Linked DNA regions of Saccharomyces cerevisiae S288C. Changing the gene in region 1 together with any one later gene gives a genetic interaction. Each region holds a gene or a part of one and is shown in the gene's direction. Other genes may lie near its edges.

Evidence for each region.
Region 2: mutations in DUS4 (region 1) and TRM82 impair growth when combined (synthetic growth defect), as found in Saccharomyces cerevisiae (one study listed by BioGRID).

Annotation. Positions count from the first base shown.
Region 1 is NC_001144.5:923,905-937,044, forward strand, and holds DUS4 (tRNA dihydrouridine synthase), read left to right. Parts: upstream 1-5,884; coding exon 5,885-6,988; downstream 6,989-13,140. Other genes in the region: tRNA dihydrouridine synthase DUS3, read right to left, coding at 1-544; zinc-coordinating transcription factor SFP1, read left to right, coding at 1,664-3,715; SEI1 (seipin), read left to right, coding at 4,839-5,696; 60S ribosomal protein eL31 RPL31B, read right to left, coding at 7,161-7,445, 7,795-7,851; YLR406C-A (uncharacterized protein), read right to left, coding at 8,302-8,451; GAG1 (Gag1p), read left to right, coding at 9,063-9,749; BLS1 (Bls1p), read right to left, coding at 9,981-10,349; rRNA-processing protein UTP21, read right to left, coding at 10,510-13,140. UniProt on the Saccharomyces cerevisiae protein: Catalyzes the synthesis of dihydrouridine, a modified base found in the D-loop of most tRNAs. Specifically modifies U20a and U20b in cytoplasmic tRNAs. Also able to mediate dihydrouridylation of some mRNAs, thereby affecting their translation.
Region 2 is NC_001136.10:783,158-786,705, forward strand, and holds TRM82 (Trm82p), read left to right. Parts: upstream 1-1,713; coding exon 1,714-3,048; downstream 3,049-3,548. Other genes in the region: SEC1 (Sec1p), read right to left, coding at 1-1,058; exocyst subunit SEC5, read right to left, coding at 3,149-3,548. UniProt on the Saccharomyces cerevisiae protein: Required for the formation of N(7)-methylguanine at position 46 (m7G46) in tRNA, a modification required to maintain stability of tRNAs; its absence resulting in tRNA decay.

The DNA of each region.
Region 1 (13,140 bases):
TTGTTTGCGCATCTGGATCAATCTCCTTCTTCGATATTAGGATATTATCTTCTTTATTCAGATGAGACGATAAAAATCTGCATTTGAATCCCATGGGGCAAAATCCCAACGAGTTGAAGACCGGACAGGAAGGAAATATATTACTTTCAACTTCAGGCTTTTTTGTTGAAAGGTACAGATTGATATCGTGAACAAACCTACAGTTATCACCAAAGGAGCATTTAGATATATCGCCATGGATCAAGCGTGGGCACAAGACATTCTGTTCCTTGACCTGCCTGTTATCTCTATTCTTGTTTTGCCCACGCTTCTTACCTCTTCCGTTCTTATTTTTCTTATTAGTCCCACCTGCAAACTCGTTTGTCATTCTGTCGGAAGACATCTCTTCATCATAGATGGCGACCTTCTGGTTTTCATTCTGCTTCAATGGTACAATATATTCTGGTTTGATATGTGCAATACCTTTGGACGGGGAAGTGTCTTGTCTCTTCACGGTTGAGTTGTCGTCGCCAACAATAGAGCGTTTTTCAGCGTTTTGCTCCATCAATAATGTTTAGAAGTTGCCTTTTTTTCCTATTCTGAGTTCATTAATGTTTCATTACTGCTCATCTCATCACTACACATTCGAACTAAATTCTTCATAACTTTAACTAGATCTTATGAAACTTTTCAAAAATGGTGCACGGGCTTTCTGTATATTGAACTTTCCGTCGCTTTTCGGAGCTACAATTCCCCTACCCGGCTTGTCGGCATTAAGTCTCTTCATCCCGTGTACTATTACCCGACAGGTTTCTGCGGCATGTTCTGTGGAACGACGGTACGGGCGGTGACTGGGTGCCAAACAGTGCGGCGTTCCCGTGCGCAAGGTGGTCTGCGGTAGGAAAAAGAAACAAAACGCGCCTACGTCGTGCAAGGGGACAGGATTTTGTCAGTTACATAATAAGGAGCAATTTCGAATCAATTGAAATTTGGAACAAATGGGCGATGCATTCGTTAAAAGGCGATTTTGTATCAAATAACGTCACTATCAGCCATTGTCACTTGCCACTGTCGCCTGCCACCGCTATTGCCATTATCATTTGCTTTCGCATCGTCACCGATTTAAAGCTCTCTAGGCTAACGTACGCATTTTACCTCCCAGGCCCTATCTCTTTTCTACCTGTCATCCCTATATAACGTCTTGTACATTCTAGTGGCTCCGTTAACAAGGTTTGACAAATATTACAATCAAAGAAGGATAGCGCTAGTCAATCTAATCATTAAGTTCGCTTATAAAGAGAAGGAAAGCTAGATTTTTTTTCTACTTCAATTACATATCGGTGCTTCTCTCTGGTGGTTTTCTGTTTTTCTAATATTGATCGATTTTACGGTGAGTTAAACTACTTCCTTTTATCGCAATATCATATTTAGAGCGAGAAAGCAAGAAGAATAAAGCTAGGAGAAAAAAGCGCCACGATACATTCATACTAAGTTTATAATATACCGGTCGTCTTTTGGCTTTCTGATACCATATTATATCCTCGAAACACTTTCTCTGGATTCACCTACTATTAATCACCTCAAGATTTCACTTGTAAGGCGTTTTCAAATTTATTGTTATTAAAAGACATATTCATATTCAGTATTTTTATTTTTCTTCGAAACAGGAAAAGCTTATCTGAGTATGGATTTTACAACAATGACTATGGCAAGCAATATGGCTACTAGTACTACTACGACGGCTACATCGGCACATGCATCTATAAATTCGTCATCAAACTTTAATATTGATATTGATTCGAACCAGAATACTCCTTCCATTTTGATAAATAACAATTCGGATTCTTCTAATGGAAAAAACACAGATTTTAACGGCGTCAATAATATTCACCAAAAAAATATCATGAATAATACAAATAATGTTCATTTGTACTCTCCAAATATAATGGACCAAACGCTACTAACTCCACAGGACATTGCCAAGTTACGGAGAGAATCAATAGCCCATTCTCAAGGGATGGGTGGTGTTTCATGGGGATCCATTAGTGTTGGTTCTTGGTTAAGAGATGAAATTATTAGCCGTAGAAATAGTATTGTACCTGCATCAGCAAACGGTGCTGCCTCCGCTGCCGCTTCTGCAACCACTACTGCCACTAATACTTTGCAGATTCAACAACCAACTAAGAGACCCTCTGTTAGTAATCCGCCTTACCATAGAGGGTATTCTATTTCTCCTCAGATAGCCTACACTGCTTATCTGCCAAATCTAGAAAAGCAATATTGTAAAGATTATTCATGCTGTGGTCTTTCCTTACCAGGTTTGCATGATTTGCTGAGACATTACGAAGAAGCTCATATATCCACGTCTCCTAACACTACCAATATGTCACAAATACCGATGAACTCTGCTGGTAACACTAGTTCATCAGTTCGTATGACAAATAATACCTCTTCTGCCAACTATAACCTGCAGAATAACATGGCCGCTAATACAAAAAATGCAGGTCATAAGACTAATACTATGCAGGCTCATAGCAGCAATGCAACTAATAACACCTCCATTAATAATATGCATGCCAATCTTCAGAGCAACATGGATTCCAACTCCACAATACGACAATCTCAGCATCCTCACCATCAGCAGAATATAATACAACAACAGTTGCAATCGAATTCTGTAAATCATACATCAGGGGCTGTACCCACACCGAGTGTAATGGGTTCAGCAACTGCGTCGTCCACAACTGCAAATCCAAATGTGATATCTATAACGGGTGCCCCCAACTCGGGCTTATCTATGGCTAATCACTCTCAACAACTACATCTGAATGGTAATCTAGTCGATGCCGTTTCAACGAATGATGTGTTTTTAAGAACGAGCAATTCTCCATCAAGACACGTTCCGCACAATAAACAAATTAACAGTAACAATAATAGTGGTATCAATATCAATAATAATACCTCACACAATTCTAATATTAACATGGGTAGTAAAAACGCCATGGTGAATCGTCCACATACTTTTAATAACTATTCCTTGAACAAAACGTCCAGGAATCCTATTCAACATCAATCAAGAAAAATTGATCCTCATCAAACCGATTTATCACCTCTGGTACTTGTCCAAGATATAGATTTAAGTTTTATGGATGATGATATTTTGGGCCCTAGTAACCACAATTCCATGAACTCTGTCGTAAATCCAACTACAGGTTCTCACAACTACAATACTTTTCATTCTTCCGTACACGCAAAATCTTCTCAAAACATGGTCGAGGATCAAGACATTGATGACATTGATGATGACGATGATGTTGATGATGACGATGACGATGACGATGACGATGACACAGAAAATGGCTCCAGTTCCAATGGAAAATCAGTTCATAACAACAATTACAAGATGCCTCAGCAAGCTTATATAGACGATCCTGCGAGAAGGCTCTATGTAATGGATCATGAGGAACAAAAACCCTTTAAGTGTCCAGTTATTGGTTGTGAAAAGACTTATAAAAACCAAAACGGTTTGAAGTACCATAGGTTGCACGGACATCAGAATCAAAAATTACATGAAAACCCTGACGGTACATTTAGCGTAATAGATCCAGATTCGACAGATTCTTTTGGTGATGGAATGGGCTCTGCAAAGGATAAACCATACCGTTGTGAAGTTTGTGGTAAGAGATATAAGAACTTGAACGGTTTAAAATATCACAGGGGCCACTCCACTCACTAAGATATAATTGTTTCTTTACTGAATTGATTTAGTATGCTATTTAGATACTAATTCTACCGTTACCGACTCATGCATCGAGCGGCCGCTCTTTCTCTTGTTGTTGGGCGCAATTTATGTGATCATCTTTGAACGAAAATGCATGATAAAGCTGTGCTCTTCGACTGTTACCATTAATTTCAAAAAATAAAAAGCATATCTATTATTGAAAAATGAACTTATAATAGAATAACATTTTCTTGTTTTGTCATCATTTCCTCTAAATACTCCGTCATGAAAACGATTTGCGCTCTGTCTGGTCTCTCCTTTTAGTATTATTGTTGTGTGTTTTTTACTATTCATTTTTTACTACTGTGTTTTTACTATATATATTTTGGCTTTACTTACTTCCTTCTGTTCTGATGTATTAAAAACTATTTTTATTCTAAGAAAAGAAACTTTAATTCTTCTTATTCATGCTCTAAATCTTAAATAAAAGGTTCCGTTTTTTATCTGCAATTCTGTGTATTTGTAAGTGAATTACCATGCACGTTGTCGGATCGTTTTTCTAGGCAGAAACTATCTTATTGAACCATTAAAAGATTACTTAAATATTACAATTAATCTTACGAAGCATATTAATTAGACTGGAATTACAGCGCAACTATCACAGGTTAATAATTGGTTGAGAAAATATTATAGTTTTGTTAGTAATGTTGAACTTTTATTTTATACACTTATGAAAGTAAATTAATTCAATATCAATAATAATATACTATAAGTAACTTAAAAAGCAACCTTCCTCCCAAACCTACAATCCAATCACGCTGATAAGTATTATCTAGAAAGTTGACAACACCAAGCCATATGGTCAAGAAACATTTATTGAGAGTTATTTTGTAAATAAGACTTTTCGTCATCCATATAAAGCAACCTAATTGTTCATCTAATACTAGAGTCGCTCTTTTGAAAGTTAAGTATAACTACCTCATCATTAGTTGCTACTATGTGTATAATTTGAAAATCTCAACGTAAGGTTATTAAAAATATAAATGCGCGTAAGACAGAAAAATAGAGACAGCTTACGGCAAATTATCAAAATGTGAATCCAAGGTTTCAAGAAAATAAGATAAAGTGAATAGGAAGGATGAAAATCAATGTATCCCGTCCATTACAGTTTTTACAATGGAGTTCATATATTGTTGTTGCATTTCTGATACAATTGCTAATCATTCTTCCTTTATCGATCTTAATATATCACGATTTTTACCTAAGACTATTACCTGCCGATTCCTCTAACGTAGTCCCCCTTAATACGTTCAACATTTTAAATGGCGTACAATTTGGTACAAAATTCTTCCAATCTATTAAAAGCATTCCGGTAGGTACAGATCTGCCGCAAACAATAGACAATGGCTTATCACAGTTAATCCCCATGCGTGACAACATGGAATACAAGCTCGATCTAAACCTACAGCTTTATTGCCAGAGCAAAACTGACCATTTAAATTTAGACAATTTGTTAATTGATGTTTACAGAGGTCCAGGCCCGCTATTGGGTGCTCCTGGAGGAAGTAACAGCAAAGATGAAAAAATCTTTCACACTTCTAGACCTATTGTCTGCCTCGCACTGACGGATTCCATGTCGCCTCAGGAGATCGAACAACTAGGCCCATCACGTCTAGACGTTTACGATGAAGAATGGCTAAATACAATAAGAATAGAGGACAAAATATCGTTAGAGTCTTCATATGAAACAATCTCGGTGTTCTTGAAAACGGAGATTGCCCAAAGAAATCTAATAATACATCCAGAAAGTGGGATTAAGTTTAGGATGAATTTTGAGCAGGGATTAAGAAACTTGATGCTTCGAAAAAGATTTTTATCTTATATTATTGGCATTTCAATTTTCCATTGCATAATATGTGTACTTTTTTTTATCACAGGTTGCACTGCATTCATTTTTGTTAGAAAGGGTCAGGAAAAATCCAAGAAACATAGCTGATAGAATTGTACTTCTCGCTATATAATTTTAAAACCTAGCTGTTATTTTCTAAGTAAGTAGGCTCTTCCAGCATTCTGCTTCTTCGCCCTGAATAAAAAAAAGATGATCAGCGAAAAAACTCAAAATGAAAATAAGAGATGGATTCTTCAAAGTTATAATTCATATGCAGAATAAAGATTCTAAAGAAAATGCACACAATGCATATTCCATCCGGTGATGTTCTGATACCGAAGCCGAAGCTTATTACTGAAGAAACAGATCCACTGCATATAATAAAGACGAGGCAAAAGACACATGGTCGGCCCGTGACCATTGCAGGCCCAATGGTTCGGTATTCCAAGTTACCATTCCGTCAGTTGTGCCGAGAATATAACGTTGATATAGTTTACTCCCCCATGATTTTGGCAAGAGAATATGTCCGTAATGAGCATGCAAGAATCTCAGACCTTTCTACAAATAATGAGGACACCCCGCTAATCGTCCAAGTAGGTGTAAATAACGTGGCTGATTTACTAAAATTTGTGGAAATGGTTGCCCCATACTGTGATGGTATTGGTATTAACTGTGGTTGTCCTATAAAGGAACAAATCCGAGAGGGCATAGGTTGCGCTCTGATATACAATTCAGATTTGTTATGCAGTATGGTCCATGCTGTGAAAGATAAGTATGGCGACAAACTAAGAATTGAAACGAAAATAAGAATACATGAGGCATTGGACGAGACGGTGGAGTTATGTAGAAAGCTATGTGATGCTGGGGTAGATTGGATTACGATTCATGGCCGAACACGTAGAACTAGGTCATCGCAGCCGGCTAACCTGGATGCGATAAAATATATCATCGAGAACATCAGCGACAAAAATGTGCCTGTAATAGCGAATGGGGATTGTTTTAAGTTATCCGATTTGGAAAGAATCACCAAATACACTGGTGCACATGGTGTCATGGCTGTGCGTGGGTTGTTAAGCAATCCAGCGTTATTTGCTGGATATACTACCTGCCCTTGGGGCTGCATTGAGAAGTTTTGTTATTGGGCTCTAGAGTTTGGTGGCTTGCCTTTTCAATTGGCTCAGCACCATCTGTACTGTATGCTTGAAAATATGGAGTTGAAGAAATCTCTGTTAAAGAAAATGATGAATCTTAAAAATTACATTAGTCTGATCGACTGGTTTAATAAAACCTTTGAGTTCAAGCGTTACGGCGAGGATGGATTTGGCATGGGCGTTGAAATTCCTTATAAAGCTAATAGCTGTGTGCAGAGGAGCGCCTCAGTGGTTGAGAGACAAGAATGAATAAATTTTGAATTACAAAAATCTAATAAACTGTGGTACTGAAATTGTATATATTTTCCTATCATTCAAGAGCGTATACTCGTACCCCGAAAGCAGCTCTGTTTGTGTAATAATATAACCTAAAAGAAATAAAATGCTTATAAGATGGACATTATTTTTTTTTTTTTACAATTTAAGCATCTTCTTCAACGACAACGGTTTGTAGACCCTTAGCAGAGGCAACCAAAACTGGTTCGACGTAGGAAAACAATGGGTTCTTGGCATCTTCTTCTTCGTTTCTCTTTCTGGAGATTCTCAATCTCAATCTGTATTCAACACCCTTAACACCTCTTTTCCAGATAGCTTGGTTCAATTCTGGGGCTAGACGGACATCTTCAGTACCCATGTGTAATTTGGCGAATTTCTTGATTTCCTTCACAGCTCTTGGAGCTCTCTTTTTGAAACTGACACCATGTAGCTATATTAATATCAATTCAAGATTGGTCTGTTAGTAAAAAAAAAGTTGTTATAAGAAGGTGGAACTAAAGCATCACGCCAAAAACATCGGCCCAAGCGCCATTATAGTGTAAACGTGAGGTACGGATATCGATCGCAGAACACAGAGAAATGCAGTACCGAAGAAGAACCTTCCAGTCCTTGCATCACGCATTCCATATAATAACCTCTAATATTCCGAATTAAAACCTGGGGTCAATCATTGGAAAATGAAATTTCACCCGTATAGATTTCGCTTGGTATTTCACCACAATATCGCTTGTTGGCTTTCAATAATTTCCCACGTAAAGACAACGCTAATTTCGACATACTCTTTTGTGCAAGTTGATGGTGTATTCACGAGTGACAACGTCTTTTAAACCGGCCATTTTCAAGTACTTTGGATTATCTGCTCGTGCAATTGAAATATACTAAGACCCAAGACTATGTAAAACTAAGGAACCTATCAACAATGAGACTGGTCAAATAATAGAGTAAACATGTACATGAAGCACTACCATCAGAAAGAGCTTACAAGGTTACGAAACAACGTCAGTGCCCTCTGTCGCATTACCCTCGGTTTCGCGCCCTTCCAGTTGGCATTTGAAGTGCCAATCCAATTGTGAGCACATCCAACTAGCGTGCCCTTGCAATCCCAGAGGACACCATACAACTTCCAGCCTAGTAGTGAACTTACCAGGCGAGGAGCGCGGGCGCCAGAGGGCAGCTCATCTGCGTTCCGGCTCTAACGAGAAGGGCGGAAATGGCACCATCACCTGAAAAAGAACGTAATCTAGGCTGAGCCGCGCCTTTAAGTTTTTGTCGCATCTGGCTGCGCTTCATTTAAACGGCACTCCTAAAAAATTGTATGAGGTGATTTTTTTTGTGTACAGATGTACGGATGTACGGATGTACGGATGTATACTATGTAATAATGCACGGATGTAGAGAAACAGAAACGAGGATAATAAAATCGGTTTTTGTATCATCTGGCGGCGATATGGCGCAAGGCTTTAAGTAAACGTCCTATATGGTACTAACGGGGTTTTATTCCGAATCAAAAGAAAAAGAGATACGAAGTCTCTCTTAGTAAAAAAGTCTTTATGGAAGATTATCGATAATTCGATAATTCTACCGACAACAGTGGTTTTGTTTGGCTCAGCAAACGTGCAGCACCATGATCTTGGTAGATTTCTTCTTTACCCTCACCTTCCCCACACCATGTTTGCTTGCTACCCGTGTGTAATGCTATCAGCGCGCGTTTCTTTTTTTTTCTTGCTAACATTTTTCAACTTTAAAATGAAACGATGCATGAGTGATAGAGGCATTGAACTTTAGTAAACAATAGAAATAACCATCGGAGTTATTATTTTTTTCTGCTTATTCTTTGGTCGCAAAAAAGTGTGTTGTATAATTCTTTGGAATATTTATAAAAACAGGGAATACTCTAACAACAAACGCTAGTGCTTAGCTACTCTTCCGCTGGTACTTCAATATAGCTTGTCACATATTTTTGTCCATTAAGGTCGTTAAAACCCGAATAATTTTGTACGATCAGTTTAGTAAAAGAAATACAGTATTCAAAAGCTAACGGTTTATTATGACTGTTTCTACTTCCAAGACCCCAAAAAAGAATATTAAGTATACCTTAACACATACTTTACAAAAATGGAAAGAAACTTTAAAGAAAATTACCCACGAAACGTTGAGTAGTATCGATGACTCTAGTGGAAGCGATGAAAAAATAGAGGCTCTGTTTACTGTGTCTCAGCCTGCCGTCGTAGCCTCCAAGGGTATAGACAGAGATAGTGGTGCTTCTATGTCGCAGGTAGGAGGAGGTGTCAATAGTACATTGGAGATGAAGCTCACAGATGAGAGTGAGGAATCTAGCTCTGCTAATAACACGACCACAACCGCCTCGCATACTCTATCGAATTCGAAGAAGTCTACGCAGAACTTTGAAAACTATAACGTAGTGGAGGAACGCATAAAATTAGCACAGAAAAGTAAGGCGCCGTTTTGTAACGCTGAGAAAATCTGGAAACGAAGAAGACAACTCTGGACACAACCCACTGAGCAAAGTGAAAGCGCCAATAATGACGGAGTTACTCGAAGGGAGATTTTCCAAGCTATACCTCAGGAATATTATGCTCGAGTTTACAAGAAACTGGTGGTAGATGATAAGCCATTGAGAGAGCCTCTAAATCTGGAAGATGCTTTACAAGTCATAAATGCAGGCTGGACGGAAACGAGAAAGTGGGCTAATGCTGCCAAGGGCATGCCATGACTGAGTGTCGACGTCCTTTTTGTTTTGCCTTATAGCATCTTTTCCTTTCTTCAAATTTGCATTACACAACTTTAACTCAGTTAAAGAACTTCGTCATTTACTTATTCTTCTTTTTTTTCTTACCCTTCTTTCTCAAATCTTATTTCTGTATAAAATACGTATTGATTCATTCCATTAATAATAACATATAATAATAGTACTAATTTAAAAACATTGAATATATTTATCGTTTTATTTCGAGTTGCGATTCTTTTCTATCAGTTGGTACGTCATTTCAAGGATTCGGAGATCCCTATCCACAAGCTCTGCTTCCTTTTGTAATGCTTCGGTATGCCCCATATACGGAGTGTACTTTTCCAACATATAGTTAATAGGAGAAACACACTTATTTTTAAATGAGTCGTCATGAAGTCGCAATAACTTCTTCAACTGTACATTTAAAATATATGATTGATTATTTTCAATTTCTTGCAAAGTCTTCGAGGCTTCTGTTCTATGCGGAGAGTTGATTATTTTGTCGAGTAATCGGTCAAGTTCTTCAGACCTGTTTGGCATTTTTACGATTATCCAGTTCACACACATTGAGAATGTAAGGAACATTTATTTATTGTCGATCATTTATTAAATGTGGGAGGGACCCTTTAAGAACACTGCAACAAACCCAATAAATAATTCTTGGTTACCCTCTCAAAAAACATCATAGGAAAAAGAAAAATATACAATCTGCCTTTGTTACTAATATACTTGTTCTATATAATGCTCACGCGGTGGTCACAAAAGCTGCCACTCCCATGCAAAACTTCACAAGATCATCTAATCTGTCTTCCTTCTTATGTACATCCTCCCAATTTTGAAGAGCAGAGGCAATATCTTGATTCTTGTTGTTAGCATGAATAACATCACCGTGTGCCTTAAACAGTAAGCTCATAAACGTTTCATAAAGTTCGAAATTTTTATTGCTCTTCAACCCCTGTGTTAACGCGTCGATAAACCACACAATTTCATCAAATGGCTCAAAGGAATTCAATGATCTTATCTCCAAATCCACTGCAGCAGGTGAGAAATTTATTAGAGTGGCCAGCAATGATGAATAGTCCTTGGATTGTGAGCCCTCTCGTAATTGCTTTGTGAAATGTGATTCAAACCCTAATCTTCCTGTAACTTTGAATTTATTCATTTGCTCTTCTGCATCTAACTTCTTTTGTGCTTCTTGATCTCTGCGATGGATTTCTTCTGGTGTTTCATGTGCTATGCCTTCTCTGACAGAGGCTTCATCCCCAACCTTTTCCCCAGATAGTTGCAAGAAAAATGGAAGCTTTTCTGATTTCTTTGGAGCTTCCTTTGGCTTAGAACGTTTTCTGATAACATCTAAATGAAGCAATGTGTTCATTTTACTTCTAGGTCCTATTGATAAAGTCAACAGCTCCTTATCAATCTGTTCCAATGATGTATAAGTGTTGAAATCAATATCATTTAGGTCTTCTCCTCCATTGCTTTCTAAAGCCCCTGATAACATCGAGTCGTTCCCTCGAACAGATGTGCTAGGTAACGCCATTCTTGCAAATTCAGACTCATCGATGGTTCTTGTCGATACTGTCTTAAATTGTGCTCTGTTCGTCCAGATGCATATACCATTACCAGTAACATGGGTAGTGGCAAGCAAGTCACCATTCGGAGAAAACTTTACATTCGTAGCGACATTATCTACTATGATACCATCGATACATCCTCCGGTTGGAAGATCCCACGTTCTAATGGTGGAATCTAGAGAAGCGGAAACAATCCAACGGCCCTCAGGTGAGAAATCAAATGCAGTTATTCTATTACTATGACCCCATAATTGACGAACAACTCTTTGAGTAACTGCGTCAATAACAACAATTGATAAGTCGTCTAAAGCCAATGCAAATAGATCGGAAGAACGATGATAAACCATTGCGGTAATAGGTGCATCCAATTTCAATTTTCCCAACAAGGTTGACTTGTTAAAGTCATAAAAACCAACAATACCGTCTAGTCCACAAGAAACCATTTTACGATTCATACCATCTAAGGATATACCGGTGACTGCTCTTTTGTGCAATTTGTATTTTTTACGGAGTATACCACTTTGCATATTATAGATGGTGATAGAGCCGTTAGAAGAACCGATGAATCCAAAATTACCACATTGCGACATGGCCACAGATTTAACAAATCCATCATCAGTAGTATCAAAAGTCCACCTGCCAACTCTTTTATTTCGCATATCCCAGGTTCTTGCAAACTTTTCATCTTTATGTGCAGTGATAATGTTTTCCCATTCACCTATTCTGGCATTTTCAATTGCAAGAGCCACTATTTCAGGAAATTTAGACTTAATTGTACTACCACCTACCCTGCCGCCATCTTGTTTCTTGTGTAACCTTTGTGACATTTCTTGCGACTGTGCATCTTTACGCAGAGAAAAGCTCCATAATGATCTATCTTTGGATGCTGATAGCATGAAGTGTGATTGCGAATCAGCAAACGCAATGTATGAAGGTGGTTGAGAATGACCCCCTCTGGAACGTAGATATCTTGGCGGTTGAACAACTACATCACCGCTTCCTTGAGATAATGACGGATCGAAAACGTACTCCTTCAGGGAATTGTCACCACCTGATGTAACAATAATGGGTTGACCATTTAAAAAAGTAGCCTGAGTGACACCACCGTACGATTCTCTATGAATGTTCTTCAAAACGTGTATTCTTGAACGGCGATCTAAATCATAAAATATTAGATCACCACTGCTCGTTCCCACACTCAAATGAGAAGAACCGTCGGTTCTGAAACTCAATGAGGAGATTCTTGATTGCGGAATCTTAATTGTGCGGATCCTTTTACCTTTTCTCATATTAAACATAATAACCTCACCGGTCACGGTACCTAGAGCAATAATATCCAGGACTGGAGCGGGTTCAGCAGTTGTGATTTGGTCTGGAAATTCGTTTGATGTGAATACAAGCTTCCCGGTTCTGACGTTAAAAAGTAAAACGTTAGATTTGGTAACGACAGTTAATTTATTCAAATAAGTTGCCAAATGTTGTAAAGACACAATTTCGCCACCTTGAATTTCAGTAACGGTAAGTTTAGTGTAGAATTCTGATGGATATTTATCTTGCGGATCGGACTTCTTGTATATAAAGATGGAATTGTCGTCGGTGGAAGCGCAAAGATAATCTCCGAATATGCACAAATGTTCGACATTTGCATCAGTTTCTAGCTCAAGCAAATGTTCCTCAATACCCCTCTTGTAAATACCAACCTTGTTTTCATATGCTGCGTAGACGTAGTGAAAGTGTGCTGATAATGCTACAATTGAGGATGGTGTTTCTTTCTCGGAAACAAAAAGTAAATGTAAGGTATT
Region 2 (3,548 bases), on another chromosome or scaffold:
CTCAGCAGATCGGTAGTATTCTTTACGTTCGATCTATCAACCAGCAGAGGGTTTTTAGCAATCAGTTCCTTGATTCTTCCTTGAATATATTCGTTGGCATCCATAATATGCTGATGTTTCAAATCAATCCAGTCAGGATCATACAAATCTACCAATTTTGAAACCTTTTCCTCTTGCTCACCAGCTTCATTCTCGGCAGAATAATGATATATATCTTTTTGTGTGTCCACATTAGCTACCAGGTCATAAGCCATTGCTTGATAGCTAAAATCATGTAATATTGGCGCAAAAGGGTCCAGTGTTCTATCGGTGATTATTAGAATGGAACGCGGTCTTTCAGTGTTTTGAGGAGGGAAATCTGGATTATTGCGAGCGTATGTATCTATCGCTATTTGGAAAGCGTTTGCAATAGACCTTGTTAAAGAATTTGCGTTGACTACGGCGTTTCCATTGCGGGCATCTTCCTCTTCCACAGGATTAGATACAGAATATCTAACAATCGGATATTCCCCCGTAATAACACACAAACTAACTAGTGAGCCTACAATCTTCCTCACGTTAGTAGGAATCAAAGCCTTACAGTTGTTGTTGAAAAAAACCTGTAATGAGTGTTCCATTTGTAAAGTTTCGAAGAATTGAGATTCTTTGACGAAAAACCCTAGTTCGATCGGCTTAAATGACTCCAAATTTTGAGCAATGTAACGTTTTGATTGAAAAAACTGAAATATAGGGTTTGTTAATCCTGGTAAAAATCTGATGTGACATCTTCTGTACTTAGGTGGTCTTACCATGAAGTCAGCATCGATACAATTGATGTTATATTTCGTTGGTTCCAATATGTAAATTGCCTCGATGGAGGATTGTCCTTTTCTTGTTGGGGAATCAATCAAATCAACAGATGTGACATTATTTAAAAGTTCTTGGGGTGTGAGGAAAAGATAACTCAATATTGTCTCCACAGTTTTATCGATAATAAGAAACTTCAAGTTATTTTTCGTCTCAATCTGATTCAAAACCCCTATCAAATAGTTCCTCTGTAATTCAATTAAATCAGACATCGTTCCGCCAAACCAAGCATGTGCACACTCTTCTACTTTGTCAGTGGATTCTAATTATTTTCAAGGTCTTACAAAGCAATGTCTTACTAGTTTCAATAGGGACTTAAACTGATCGTTTAAGCAAAAGAAAAACACCGTGCTGTGTGACCATCTACCAATAATTGCGAGAACATAAGACGACGCCGCCATTCACCTCTCTATCACTTACACCATGTTATAGGGATAAGTGTGTAGTCGATCGGCTATTCGATGATTTTTAAAGAGTGCCTGTAATAATAGCTGTATCGCAAGTAAGGAATACAAGATTACTGATATTTTGATCCAGGAGGATGGACATGTTAGATAGAAAAACTAAGAGGGCTACTACATCCGGTTTAGTATTCTGTTATTGGGAATGCTTTTCCCAAGACGCAAGCAAGAGGTGACACATAAACATAGTTTTCTTATTGTATCGTTACATATTCTTATTTTACGCTGCTGTCATTAAATATGGCACTTATCTCAGATACATTTCTTTTAATCAGCGAAAAAAATGGCGAGGTGAAAAAAATCGATGAGATGAAAAAATTTTTTACTAGTAAAGGCGTATTGATGATATATTAGCAGCTAAAGTATAGCAAGGTTTGTCAATTTGAAGCAGTCCGCGTGTTTTACAATGAGCGTCATTCATCCTTTGCAGAATTTACTCACCTCTCGTGATGGCTCATTAGTTTTCGCCATCATTAAGAATTGTATCTTAAGCTTCAAATATCAATCGCCAAATCATTGGGAATTTGCTGGAAAATGGTCTGATGATTTCGACAAAATTCAAGAATCGAGAAACACCACTGCTAAGGAGCAACAAGGACAATCCAGCGAAAACGAAAACGAGAACAAAAAATTGAAAAGTAATAAAGGCGATTCCATTAAAAGGACAGCAGCCAAGGTACCATCTCCAGGTCTTGGCGCCCCACCGATATATTCGTACATAAGAAATCTGAGATTAACTTCGGATGAATCAAGACTAATTGCGTGCGCAGATTCTGACAAGTCCCTCCTAGTTTTCGATGTCGACAAAACTTCCAAAAATGTCTTAAAGTTGAGAAAAAGGTTCTGCTTCTCAAAGAGACCGAATGCTATTTCTATAGCCGAAGATGATACTACAGTCATAATAGCTGACAAATTTGGTGATGTATATTCTATTGATATTAATTCTATCCCGGAAGAAAAGTTTACTCAAGAACCTATTCTCGGTCATGTCTCTATGTTGACTGATGTACACTTGATTAAAGACTCTGACGGTCATCAATTCATAATTACAAGTGATAGAGATGAGCATATTAAAATTTCGCATTATCCCCAATGTTTCATTGTGGACAAATGGCTCTTTGGTCATAAGCATTTTGTTTCTTCCATATGCTGTGGCAAAGACTATTTATTATTAAGTGCAGGTGGTGACGATAAAATCTTCGCTTGGGATTGGAAAACTGGTAAGAACTTGTCTACCTTCGATTATAATAGTTTGATTAAACCTTATTTGAATGATCAGCATTTAGCACCACCAAGATTTCAAAATGAAAATAATGATATTATTGAATTTGCAGTTAGTAAAATTATAAAGTCAAAGAACCTACCGTTTGTTGCGTTTTTCGTCGAAGCTACAAAATGCATAATAATTCTGGAAATGTCCGAAAAACAAAAAGGGGATCTTGCACTAAAGCAAATTATAACTTTTCCATATAATGTTATCTCATTATCCGCCCATAATGATGAATTCCAAGTCACCCTAGATAATAAGGAATCATCTGGTGTGCAAAAAAATTTTGCCAAATTCATTGAATATAACTTAAATGAGAATAGTTTTGTCGTGAATAATGAAAAATCAAACGAATTTGACAGTGCCATCATACAATCAGTACAAGGGGATTCTAACTTGGTGACCAAGAAAGAAGAAATTTACCCGTTATACAATGTTTCCTCGTTAAGAAAACATGGAGAACATTACTCGTGAAATAAAAAGGTAGTAAGTACATCTTTATAACTAATATAAAAAAAGATACGTACCGATTTGTGTTAATAATCATTGTTAGTACATCTTTATACCTCTGTTTCTAGCTGAAGGCGGCGAATTGAATAGCAGTTCTTTTTAAATTGGCAGATACAATAGGATTAATCTCATTGATACATTTTTGTAGTCTATTTGTGTCGTTCTGGAAACAGTTTTGTAAGCACGCCCTTAATGTGGCCTCGGTGTCCTTTTCAAGTAAAGGACCCATAACCTTCTGAAAGAATTCCAAATCCACTATAATTTGTAATGAGCCATCATTAGAAAGATTACCAACATAAGGCTTAAATGCCTCAAAGAGGTATCTGGCTATAAAAATCTGCGTTTCAATTAAAATCTTATGGATGAGCTGAGGCCCAATTCTAAAGCACTCACTGTGAACCACGATCAGAATCATTAACGCTTCTATAATATAGTCACCAACCCTGAATGAATTTGATGTATAC